Sus scrofa: one gene and its partners. The protein of the gene in region 1 interacts with the protein of each later gene in a pairwise test. Links are inferred from orthologs where the notes say so. Each region holds a gene or a part of one and is shown in the gene's direction. Other genes may lie near its edges.

Region 1 (2,686 bases):
GCTTGGGGTGCTCCTGTGCTTGGCTCACCAAGCACGCTCTGCTGGGCATCCTGGGAGGCAGCTGGCCAGAGTGCAGCTGGATTTCACACCCAGCTGTACCAGGTCTCTCAGAGAGACCCTATCTTCCTAATTATCAAATACATACACACGTCATTTATGGTTATAAATAAAGTCAAAGTAGTGTTTAGTTCCTTGTCTCCACGCCCACGCAAATGACCAGGAGACTATAGACCAGGGGATATACGAGGACACAGTCCTTAAACTCTTGTTTAAGACAGATGATGGTGGAGTTCCCACTGTGGTTCAGTGGGTTAAGAACCTGACACGTATCCATGAGGATGTGGGTTCGATCCCTCGCTCAGTGGGTTAAGAATCCATGATGTCATGAGCTGTGGTGTAGGTCACAGATGCAACTCGAATCCTGCATTGCTGTGGCTGTGGTGTTGGCCAGCAGCTGCAGCTCCGATTTGACCCCTAGCCTGGGAACCTCCATCTGCTACAGGTGCAACTGTAACAAGAAAAAAAAAGAGAGAGACATATGATGGTGATGATGATAGCGGATTTATCACACTTATTGAGCAGTTACTATGTGTGGGCCCTGTTCTAAGGGTTTAATACACATCGTGTCGTTTTGTTCCCTACTTCACCCTATGGGATACCTGCTGCTATTCTCTGCATTCTGGAGAGGAAGTTATGGTGGCTCAGATATATTAAATGATCGCCCAAATGTTTCTGTATTGGAATCCAGGCCTCTCTGGGCCCTGAGGCTCAGCTTGTACCTGGTGCTGCCCTACCCTGACCTCCCCATCGAGGCCTTGACAGGAGCCTGGAGCACAGGTGACTCCAGGCTGCCCTCTGGCCAGAGCTGGGGTACAGATGGGCTTGATGCTCCTTGAAGGGGGAACCATGTGCTTTGAGGTCAGTGGTGCTGGCATCCCACCCAGCCTGAGGACTCTGTGTGGGTAAGGTGCCCCTCCCAAGTAAAAAATAAATATCGTCTTTATAGGGGACCTTCTATTCGGTTTTCAGTGCTCTACATATATCACCTTAATCCACACCGTAACTGCATAGGAGAGGTACAGTTATTCACGTGCAAACAGTGAAGAAACTGAGGTGTAGAGATTAAGTAACTTGCCCAAGGTCCTGCATCTAGGAAGTGGTGGAGCCCAGATTTGAACCCTGGAAGCCTGGCCCAGAGTCATGCTCTTGTCCATACTCTTATCTGCCTTCACTGTGGGCGGCAGTCCCCAGGTGAGTCTGGAGGAGGTGGCATGAACTTCTGAGAGGCCAGAGGAGGGGGACTGGCTGGATTGAAAGCCGCTCACGCTTTCTGCTCTCTCCCCAGATGAACATGCTGATGAGGCTGCAGGAAGCAGCCAACTATTCCAGCCCCCAGAGCTACGACAGCGACTCCAACAGCAACAGCCATCACGACGACATCCTGGACTCATCCCTGGAGTCGACTCTGTGACGGGGGCCGGGCCACGGCGCCTGCCCTCCTCCCCACTCCACCCTCCCACCCTCTCCACCTGCATCCTCTGCACCATCCTGAAGATGCCCTCCTGAGCCAGCCCCTGGCTGCGGCGTGAGCGCTGCAGGAAGACCCAGCCCCCCTCGTCCTCCAGCCCTGACCTGGGTGCGGGCATCCCGGGCCAGCCGCCTCGGCCCACTCCCTTCCTCAGTGAGAACTGCACTAGCTTCTGTTTTAATTATTGTTTTGCCTTGTTGCTGTGACCTCCCTAAGACACTGAAAGATACTTCTCGGGAAAGGATCATCACCGTTGAAATAAAAGGGTGGAAAAAAAAAAAAAAGAAAAGAAAAGAAACCCACTTGAAGCTCCGAAGCCAAACAGCATCCTGTCCAGAGACAGAAGAGACTAGGGCAAAGTTGGGAACGGAAACCACAGGCTTCCCTGGAGCACAGCTTCCTGCAGCCCAGGTCTTACAGCCTCCACCCCATGTCCCGCCATTGCCCCCCGACCCCGCCAGCCACACAGAGATCTGGTGCAAGCAGGGGGCCCAGAGCTGCATCCCATGGAAGCCTTAGGAAAACCCGCGCTTTCTCTTTTTTTTTTAAATGGTGCTCTCCTTCCCGAGCGGTACCTTGCCTGTTCCGGTTCACCCCCACCTTTCAGATGCATCAGCCTCCGGTTCATCCATGAGCGAGAGTGAAGGAGTGAGAATGTGACCAAGCAGAAGTCGCTGTCACGGCAGAACAGCACGTGTCTGCGTCCCTCTCGTGTGTAAGCCAATCCGGTCTTGTTCCTGCTCTAACACTGTGTCCAGTGAGAACTGGTCTACTTGGACGAACTGCTCACCCCTTTGAAAATGAGGTTGAGTTTCTCCTCTTCTGACTTTTGATTTTGAAGATTTTTTTTCTCCCTCTCCCTCTGCCTCCCCTCATGGTCAGAAATCCATCCTTTGGTGAACACGAGAGCCGCAGGAGTTGGGTTTGGGTTCGGTCCTGCTGAGTTTTCATTTTCAATTGCCCATCCTCCCCGTTCTGCACACACGCCGCCTCCTGCTGGGGCTGGGGTCACTGTGTCCCTGGCTGGTGGACCAGGACCCCCCATCCTCCGCCGGTGGGCGAGCGGGACCTTGCCTTTCCTCCTCGTCCCCAAGGCCGCAGGACACACGTCGCCACCTCCAGCGTGCCAGCCCCGACCTCAGGTGGGGTGTGAGGTCA
Region 2 (4,150 bases), on another chromosome or scaffold:
GCTCTGTGGCAGCTCTGGGTTTGACTCCTGGCCCAGCACAGTGGATTAAGGATATGGAATTGCTGCAGCTGTGGCCATAGGTGGTACAGGTCACAGCTGCAGCTCAGATTTGATCCCTGGCCTGGGAACTTCCACATGCTATGGGTGCGCCCCCCCAAAAGCTTATTACTAAAAGAAAGAAGTCAATCTGAAAGGGCTACATGCTGTTTGATTTCAACTACATGACAGTCTGGAAGAGGCAGAACCAGAGACCAAGCCAGGGGCTGGGGCAGGGAGAGAGATGCATGGGTGGAGCAGGCCATTTTAAAGGCAGAGCAACTATTTTGTATGAAACTGTATTGGTGGGTACTTAACATAGTCTTACCACACAGAATGACTCCTAATGGAAAATCGATATGGTTTCATCAGTTGTAGTAAATGTACCCCAGAAATGGAAAATGTTTTTTTATTTTTTTAGGGCCACATCCGTGGCATTTGGAGGTTCCCAGGCTAGGGGTTCAATTGGAGCTGCAGCTGCCAGCCTACACCACAGCCACAGAAACATGGGATCTGAGCCATGGCTGAGACCTACACCACAACTCACGGCAACGCCAGATCCTGCACCCACAGAGCGAGGCCAGGGATCGAACCCACAACCTCATGGTTCCTAGTCAGATTCGTTTCCTCTGAGCCATGACAGGAACTCCGAAAATGTTCATAAGGGAAACTGTGTGTGTGTGGAGGGGGTATATAAGAACTGTTTCCTTCTCAATTTTTCTGATAACCAAAAACTGCTCTAAAAATAAAGTTATTAATAAAAACACCTACTTAATAAAGAAAGTGGGTAGTATGCAATTAGCTCCGCCAGCGTGTGTGTGCAGTTTCACATCAAGCATTGAATCGGGCCAGAACGGTTGCATGGAAACTGCAAACATTTGGTTGAAAGGTGAGCAACATAATCACAGTTCTGTTCCTTGGGGAGGTTGGAAATTTTCCTTTCCCTGAACAGCTTGAATTTCTATAACGAAGGTAAAATTGACAAAACAATGAATGTGCTTCCACTTTTAAATATCTGCCTGGGGTTTACGGAAGAGTTCAACAGAAGGGGTGTATCTTTACACCGGCATTTTCGCTGATGAAACGGCGCCACCCGCCACCCCCACCAGCCCCCGAAAACCTCCAGAGGCCGAGCGTGCTCGCGCACCTCGCAGCCCCGCACCTGCTCCGACCGCCCCGCCGCGACCCCGACCGGAAGCCGGGGGGCGTGCCCAGAGGAGCCCCGCCCCGGCGTCCGCCCAATCAGCGCGCTGGGCTCATTAATAGTGACCACGCCGGCCCCGCCTCCGCCTCCCGCGGCGCCACCGCCCGCGCAGACCCAGAGCGCGGCCGCGGACGAAGATGGCGACCGCCATGTACTTGGAGCACTACCTGGACAGTAAGCGTCCCCCGCCCCACCCAGGCCCGCCACCCACGCCGGGGCGCCCCCGCCGCGCCTCCTTCGCGCGTCAGGCTCCGCACACGGACCCCGGGGCTCGTGGGGGCGGCGGGGCGGCCCGGCGGCAAAGGCAGCGGGGGCGCGCGCGGGGCAGGCGGGGCCACGGGGGAGGGGCGCGCAGGGGGCGCGGCACGGGGTCCCGCCATCACGGCCGCGCCAATTCCAGATGCGTCACGGCGGGGAGGGGCCGGCGCGGCCGGGGCGGGGCCAGCGCGGCCCCGCCCTACCCTCCCGACCCGACCACGCCCACTCACCGAAGGCTCCGCCCGCGACCAGGCACCGCCCACCGCCTCCTAGGCACCGCCCGCTTCGACGTATGCCCCGCCCTCTCCACCGGGCCTCGCTCCTTCCCAGCGGGGCCTTGCCTTACCTGGTTCCCTGCTCTTCCCCACCGAGGTGGCCCACCAAGGTGGTTGAGACCCAGTCCTCTTGGACTCTGGGCCGGGTTTGGGGGTCCCAGGGCCTGGCGAGCTTGGAGGGCCTGGATTCCTTGCCTACTTGTGCTGTGACCTGGGAATTGCTTTCGAGTCCCAGTTTGTGCATCTACTAGGCATACTGATGTGGAGGGTCCCCCAGGGCACCTGTCTTTGTGCAGGGGGTTTGGGGGCGCAGCTTCCAGGGCTGGGTAGGGTGTTCAGGGCAGTGGTCATCACCACTGAGCCATAGCCATCTCTGGAGGACTCCTGAGCAGGTGGTTGTTCACGCTTTTCACAGAGGGGGTGGTGTTGCCTGCAGAGGCTTAGTAGCTTGTCACAGTTGAGCACTGGAGAGTGGAGACCCTAGCTTTAAACACTGCTGCCTGGCTCTGGCTGGGAGTTGGCCTGGGTGGGGGCTGGGTCAGGTGGCTCTGGAGCACTGGGTGTTCAGAGTCACTCTGGGCTGGGAGCTCCACCCGAGGTTGCTGAGAGTAGGGCGTGACCCCCTGCTCTGGGGAAGATGGCGAGGATCCAGCCCTCCCAGGGGGTTGCTCAGTCCTGGCCGTTTATTCTGCTCACCTGGCCCCCCGTGAGCACAGGGTCCTGGGTGGGAGAACACAGTGGAGGGAGAGGTTTCCCCAGCAGTGTCATTAGGGGGCCCGCCCTAGGTGTCTGCTGGGTGGCACTGCGGCTTGCCCTTCTCTGGCCTGGAGCCTGCCTGGTGGGCCCCTGTGGAGGGACTGAGGGACTTGAGTTCTGTCCTGTGTGGGGCTCCTGTGTGAAGGCTTGGGACCTTGAGCGCCGGCTGTGTTCCAGGAAGGCAGACATGATTCTTCCTTTTCCTGAAACTCACTATTGAGTGGGGCAAATAGAAGTTTCCAGGCCATGAAGGAGCCCAGGAGATCATGACAGTGCAGGGGTGGCACTGTTCTGGCAGCCGCACTAGGATAGCAGGGGGTCCACTCGAGGGCGTGGTGGGCCTGGAGGCCAGGATGGCATCTGTGCTGCTCCCTGGGTGGGCTGGGAGTGGGGCTTGGAGCAGATGTAGCTCCTAAAGTGATCAGCTGCGGCGGGGCCGAGGCTGGACTGAGAGGGCTGCGTGCAGGTGTGAGAGCAGCGGGGCAGGGCCCTCCACCTATGCTGTCCGTTGCCGTCTGTTTAATTTTAAATAACCCTGAGTAAGAGGAGAACTTGAGTCCCTCTGCATACTTGCCCGTTTCAGGGGCTTGGTAGCTCCATGTGGCTCCATCCTCATAAAGTCCCACGTGCAGCACTGGCCGGCCCCCGATGCCCTGGAGTTCAGAGTCAAGTGGAGGGAGATGGGGGGGCCTCCGGGTTTGGGACATGTTCCCTGGGAAGAGGTGTCTGCCGGGGAGGGGTGACCTGGGCCTTGGAGTGGAAGAATCCCACGGCATCTTCCTGCCTCTGCTTGCACCTCGTTTCTGCTTTCACCTCTACCTTCTCGAGCTTCTGACAGCCTCTGGAGCGTGTCAGCCTCTTACCAGCATGTTCAGAGTTTGGCACAAGTCGCTCAAAAAGGATATCTTAATCCTGTCTTTGTGTTTCAGGTATCGAGAACCTTCCCTGTGAACTTCAGAGGAACTTCCAGCTGATGCGAGAGCTGGACCAGAGGACGGAAGGTGGGTTCGGGCCTCTCAGCACAGCCAGAGCTGGGCCCTGATACCCTGGGGACTGGAGCACCAGGATCCTGGGATGGCACCAGTCCTGCAGGGGACCTGGTGTGGGGCTGCTGTCCAGGCCCGTGCCCTGGGTGGTGTCTCAGGGAGACTGCTGATTCTCTTTTCTTTGCTTTTCTTTAAGGGCCACACCCACAGCATATGGAAGTTCCCAGACTAGGGGTTGAATTGGAGCTGCAGTTGCTGGCCTACACCCCAGCTCACCGCAAAGCCAGATCCCCGAGCAAGGCCAGGGATCAAACCCGCATCCTCATCGATAGATTGGATTCGTTTCTGCTGCGCCGCAGTGGGCACACCATGATTCTTTAAAATCAAACTTAGGGAGTTCCTCTCGTGGCTCAGTGGTTAGTGAACCTGACTAGCATCCATGAGGATGCAGTTTTGATTCCTGGCCTCCCTCAGTGGGTTAAGGATCGGGTGTTGCTGTGAGCTATGGTGGAGATCGCAGATGCGGCTCGGGTCTGGCATTGCTGTGGCTGTGGTGTAGGTCGGCGGCTACAGCTCCGATTAGACCCCTAGCCTGGGAACCTCCACATGCCGCGGGTGCAGCCTTAAAAAAGCAA
Region 3 (4,178 bases), on another chromosome or scaffold:
CTATTGTAAATAGTAAAGCACCATTCTTAAAGCAGGCAGATACTAACACAGTTACTATGTATTTTCCCACTACATTAGTTACCTAAGGAATTGTCTATATCATTTGTTATAAAATATTTTCCTGTCAAAGTACTGCAAAGAAGGGGAGAATGAACACTGGGGAGTCACCCATAATATGTAAGGATGACTTCAAAACAAATGCTTTTCACAGACTGGGAAAAAAAACAAATAATTCTATAGGACATATATTATTCTTCTTAAATATCTGTAAATTATATTGGCTCTCTAAACCTCAGTTTCCTTAACTGATAAAAAAAAAAAGAGAGAATTATAAGCCTATCCATCTCCACAGGTTGTTGCGAGGCTAAAGCAAGCCAATGGGAGGAAAGTTTTAGCAGAGCACCTGGTATGTCATTACTCAGTAAAGGCTGGCTTTTATTTTTATTATCTAGTTGTGAGTTATGTAATCTCATTTATTTGTTCAGATTTCAACCTGTGGGAAGGAGAGGCTGCTGCTGAAGAGCATGTCGTTTCCAACAACCAGGTTCACACGGGATATGGTGGAAAGCGACCCACAGTGGTAGTTACTGGCCTCAGGTTCTGTCCCACACCCTGCGGATTTATGTGCCAGATCCAGAAAGTCACAGAACATAGAATTCTAGGATTTTATGGGAGGCAGATTTTGTCAAGAGAAGCTAGGACTCTAGATTTGGGCTCCTGCTCCTTTCCCTTTGACTCTACTGCCTCTTTCTTTAAAACAAAACAAACAAAAATTACCACCACTGGCACAGCTGTAATTAGCCTCTCTAAATCTCAGTTTCCAAGTCTGCAATTAAGATAATCATATTTGCCCTAACGCATATGATTACTATGAGGATTAAATTGGATAATGTAAGGGAAATCATAAAATGACTGTTTTAATTGACTCTTGCTAAGTATGTACCATCAGCTTTATATACATTGTGTCTTGAAATTCACCCTGTAGGTAGTTGTGGAAGAGACTGTTGGTGACCCCAAGACCTGTTCTCCCTCTTTTCCTTAGAAATAAGACCCCTGAAAAACAAATACCATATGATATCACTTACATGTAGAATCTAAAATATGGCACAAATGAACCTATCTACAGAACAGAAACAGACTCACAGAGGCAGAAAACAGACTTGTGGTTGCCAAGGGGAAGGGGGAGGGAGTGAGATAGACTGGGAGTTTGGGATTAGTGGATGCAAACTATTACATTTAGAATGGCTAAAAAATAAGGTCCTACTGTATAGCACAGGGAACTATCTCCTGGAAGAGACCATGATGGAAGATAATGTAAGAAAAAGAATGTAGAGCTGGGTCACTTTGCTGTACAGCAGAAATTGGCACAACATTGTAAATGAACGAAGTTTCAATAAATTTTTTTCTTTTTAAGACTCCTGATTTTTAGTTGGGCTAAAGTAAGATACAGAATTATACCCCCCAGCATTCCTTGCTAAGTGTGGTTGCAGGTCTATGTTTTGGTGAATGAGATAGAAGCGGAGTTTTAGTGAGTCACTTCTGGGAAGTGTCTTAAAAGGAGGAGGACATGTTGTTCCATCTTCACCCGCTGGGTGACTGGAATGGTTATTTTATGGCTGGAACTTGAAAAGCCGTATTAGATCATATGGCAGCATAACAATCTCAGAACATCAAAAGAGAAGGAAATGATCCATTTCTTGAAAGTCTTCTGATAATAAAAAAGAGTCATAGTAACATAATGAGTGAAAAATGCAAATCTCAGATTACAAGTTAGTATGAAGTTACAAAACGAGCAAAACTAAAATAACATACATTTAAGGCGCATGTATGTGCATGTGCGTGAACACACATTTGCACGCATACACATATATGGATTCCTTAAAGTTCCTTAAAAATTTTTTTAAGTTTTTAAAACAAAACAAGGGATTGCTAAATACCAGGTTCAGGATAGTTGCTATCTATGAGGGTAGGCAGTGGATAAGGGAGGAACATTTAGGTAGATGCAGATTATTGGTAACTTTCTACTTGTTGGATTGAATGATAGGTTCATGGGTATTCATTATGTTCTTGACTAAGTGAAAAGTTTAAAGGCCCATAGATGAACCACTGATGATTGTGTGTCATGAACTAAGGATTGTGATTAATTCAATTCTACGTACTTAAGTTCAAAGAGAAAATATACTAGTGATAGCAATATATGCTTACCATGTGCCAGGCACTCTTCTAAGCTCCTTGTACAGTCAGATGACCCATGGTTGGTTGACTCTGAGGATGCCAACCATATATTTTAACCCTTTTAATCCTCCCAGTAAAGAGGTTCTATGATTGTTCCCATTTTATAGATGAGAAAATAAAGGCTCAGAGGGATTAACAGTAACTCTTTTGAGACCCACAGCAGAGCTGGGATTTAATCCAGGCTAGCTGGTTCTAGAGTTCATGCTCTTAACTACTGCCCTATAAAATGTCTAAATAAATGAAAGAGATAATTATATTAGGGCTTAGTCACCTAGGAGAAATTATAGCAGAGGCTTTCTGTAACAGTGCTGCAGGATGAGCCACACGCACAGCTCTTTAAGTATACTAAAAACCAATGAATTGTAAGCTCTAAATGGGTAAACTTTATGGTATATAAATTATATCTTAATAAAGCTTTTTTTTAAAAAAAAACCCCCACAAACCACAAATAAATGACTTTAGGATGCAAACTGTGTTCTAAGTGATTGTTTGCTATTTTAGCTATTGCATATATGTCTATGGGTAAAAGAGACGTATTCTGCAAACAAAACAAGCATTACAGTCAGGAGACCACTCACTTTGCAAGAAAATGAAACAGAAAATTTTAATCTACTACTATGAGCGGGAGAATTGTTTTTTAAATCCCCAGCTTCAGGGTTTTTTTTTTTTTGCATCTGCCAGGAAATCAAATGGCTTTCAGCGCCCAGGACAAATTTCATATTGTAATCATAACTGTCTCTGTGTGTATTGAGAATACACAAATAATAAAACATAGGAAGGAAGGGGTGGAAAGAGCACATTTGATTGAAAACACTGATACCTTTTAATTGCACAACTTTCTTTCATGTGCATAACTTTTATTTTGCTTTTCCTTTTTAATCTAAAACTGATTTTATAGGAGACGGAGAAAGCACTTCATTTAGACAGCTTAGCTATGTTTGCTCTCCGCCTGGGCTGTTTCCTCTAGGGCGTTTGAGTTGTACAGCTCCAAGGCTCCAAGGGGTCAGCATTGAGGTCAGAATAGGCAATGGCTACTTTCCTCAACACTATTTTTTGGTTTCTGACAAGGCATTGAAAGGAGAGATCAACATGCTGCTCTGATGCTCAGGGAATCTGTGTTTTCCTGACCGCTGAAAGATCCTCTTCACCGGGCCAGTTACCCTCGCAAATCTGGCCAGAGATCACAAGACCAGATGAAAGCCTGGACGGGACCTCAACAGCTCCATCACCAACACTAGAAAAAGTGCTCAGTCTTGGCTTTCTAAACCATGGGTCACTTTTATCCTCTTTCAGCCCTCTCTAAAGCACATGTGTGAACATAGGCTGATACACCCTCACTAAGGCACTTCATACTTTAAAGAACACAAAGAAAATGAAAACAAATCACTTATTTTAACTATAGCTTGGATCAACATACCATGTCATTTTTCACTTCTGTCGTGGACACTTGTACGTGTGCACACACACACAATTATGTTTTGACTCTAGTTATCAAAAGAGATAATGGAATCCAGGCTATTTCTGTCTACCCATTAATTTACCAGTCCTCTTGATACGAGATAGGCTGTCACCCCCCCCCCACCCCCGCTTAGCTAAGCCTTCCTGCTGCAGCCACATGTGGGCAATAGCTTCCATCAAGCTTTCTGGTATTTTGAATGGCAAGCCACTAAGCCTAGCAGAGCCCTGGCCACTGCCACACATACCAGTATAGGCTCCCTGAATTTCTCCTTCAACTTTCATGCTCCCTCAGTCTATATCGTGAGGCTTAGGAAACTAAACTTATTTGGTCTTTTTTTTGACCAGTGAGTCATCTAAGCAAGTCAATTTAGGTCAAAAATAATCACCTGGGAGCTTAATTTATTTGGATTGGCTATAACACTAGTTAAAGTGGCTTAACTTTAAATTTGTGTTGTGTTAATAGAACCTTGAAACAGATGAAAACC

What was found.
Region 2: the proteins of NAV2 (region 1) and ING5 interact in binary tests that used the Homo sapiens proteins (3 or more experiments, as listed by UniProt). The two-hybrid records come from large-scale screens. The link is inferred for Sus scrofa from reciprocal best matches to the Homo sapiens genes NAV2 and ING5.
Region 3: the proteins of NAV2 (region 1) and RBM15 interact in binary tests that used the Homo sapiens proteins (3 or more experiments, as listed by UniProt). The two-hybrid records come from large-scale screens. The link is inferred for Sus scrofa from reciprocal best matches to the Homo sapiens genes NAV2 and RBM15.

The regions. Positions count from the first base shown.
Region 1 is NC_010444.4:39,266,039-39,268,724, reverse strand, and holds part of NAV2 (neuron navigator 2), read left to right. Parts: intron 1-1,345; coding exon 1,346-1,471; 3' UTR 1,472-2,686. UniProt on the Homo sapiens protein: Possesses 3' to 5' helicase activity and exonuclease activity. Involved in neuronal development, specifically in the development of different sensory organs.
Region 2 is NC_010457.5:140,263,404-140,267,553, forward strand, and holds the start of ING5 (inhibitor of growth protein 5), read left to right. Parts: upstream 1-1,304; 5' UTR 1,305-1,377; coding exon 1,378-1,414; intron 1,415-3,458; coding exon 3,459-3,530; intron 3,531-4,150. UniProt on the Homo sapiens protein: Component of the HBO1 complex, which specifically mediates acetylation of histone H3 at 'Lys-14' (H3K14ac) and, to a lower extent, acetylation of histone H4. Component of the MOZ/MORF complex which has a histone H3 acetyltransferase activity.
Region 3 is NC_010446.5:109,788,710-109,792,887, reverse strand, and holds the start of RBM15 (putative RNA-binding protein 15), read left to right. Parts: upstream 1-1,332; 5' UTR 1,333-4,178. UniProt on the Homo sapiens protein: RNA-binding protein that acts as a key regulator of N6-methyladenosine (m6A) methylation of RNAs, thereby regulating different processes, such as hematopoietic cell homeostasis, alternative splicing of mRNAs and X chromosome inactivation mediated by Xist RNA.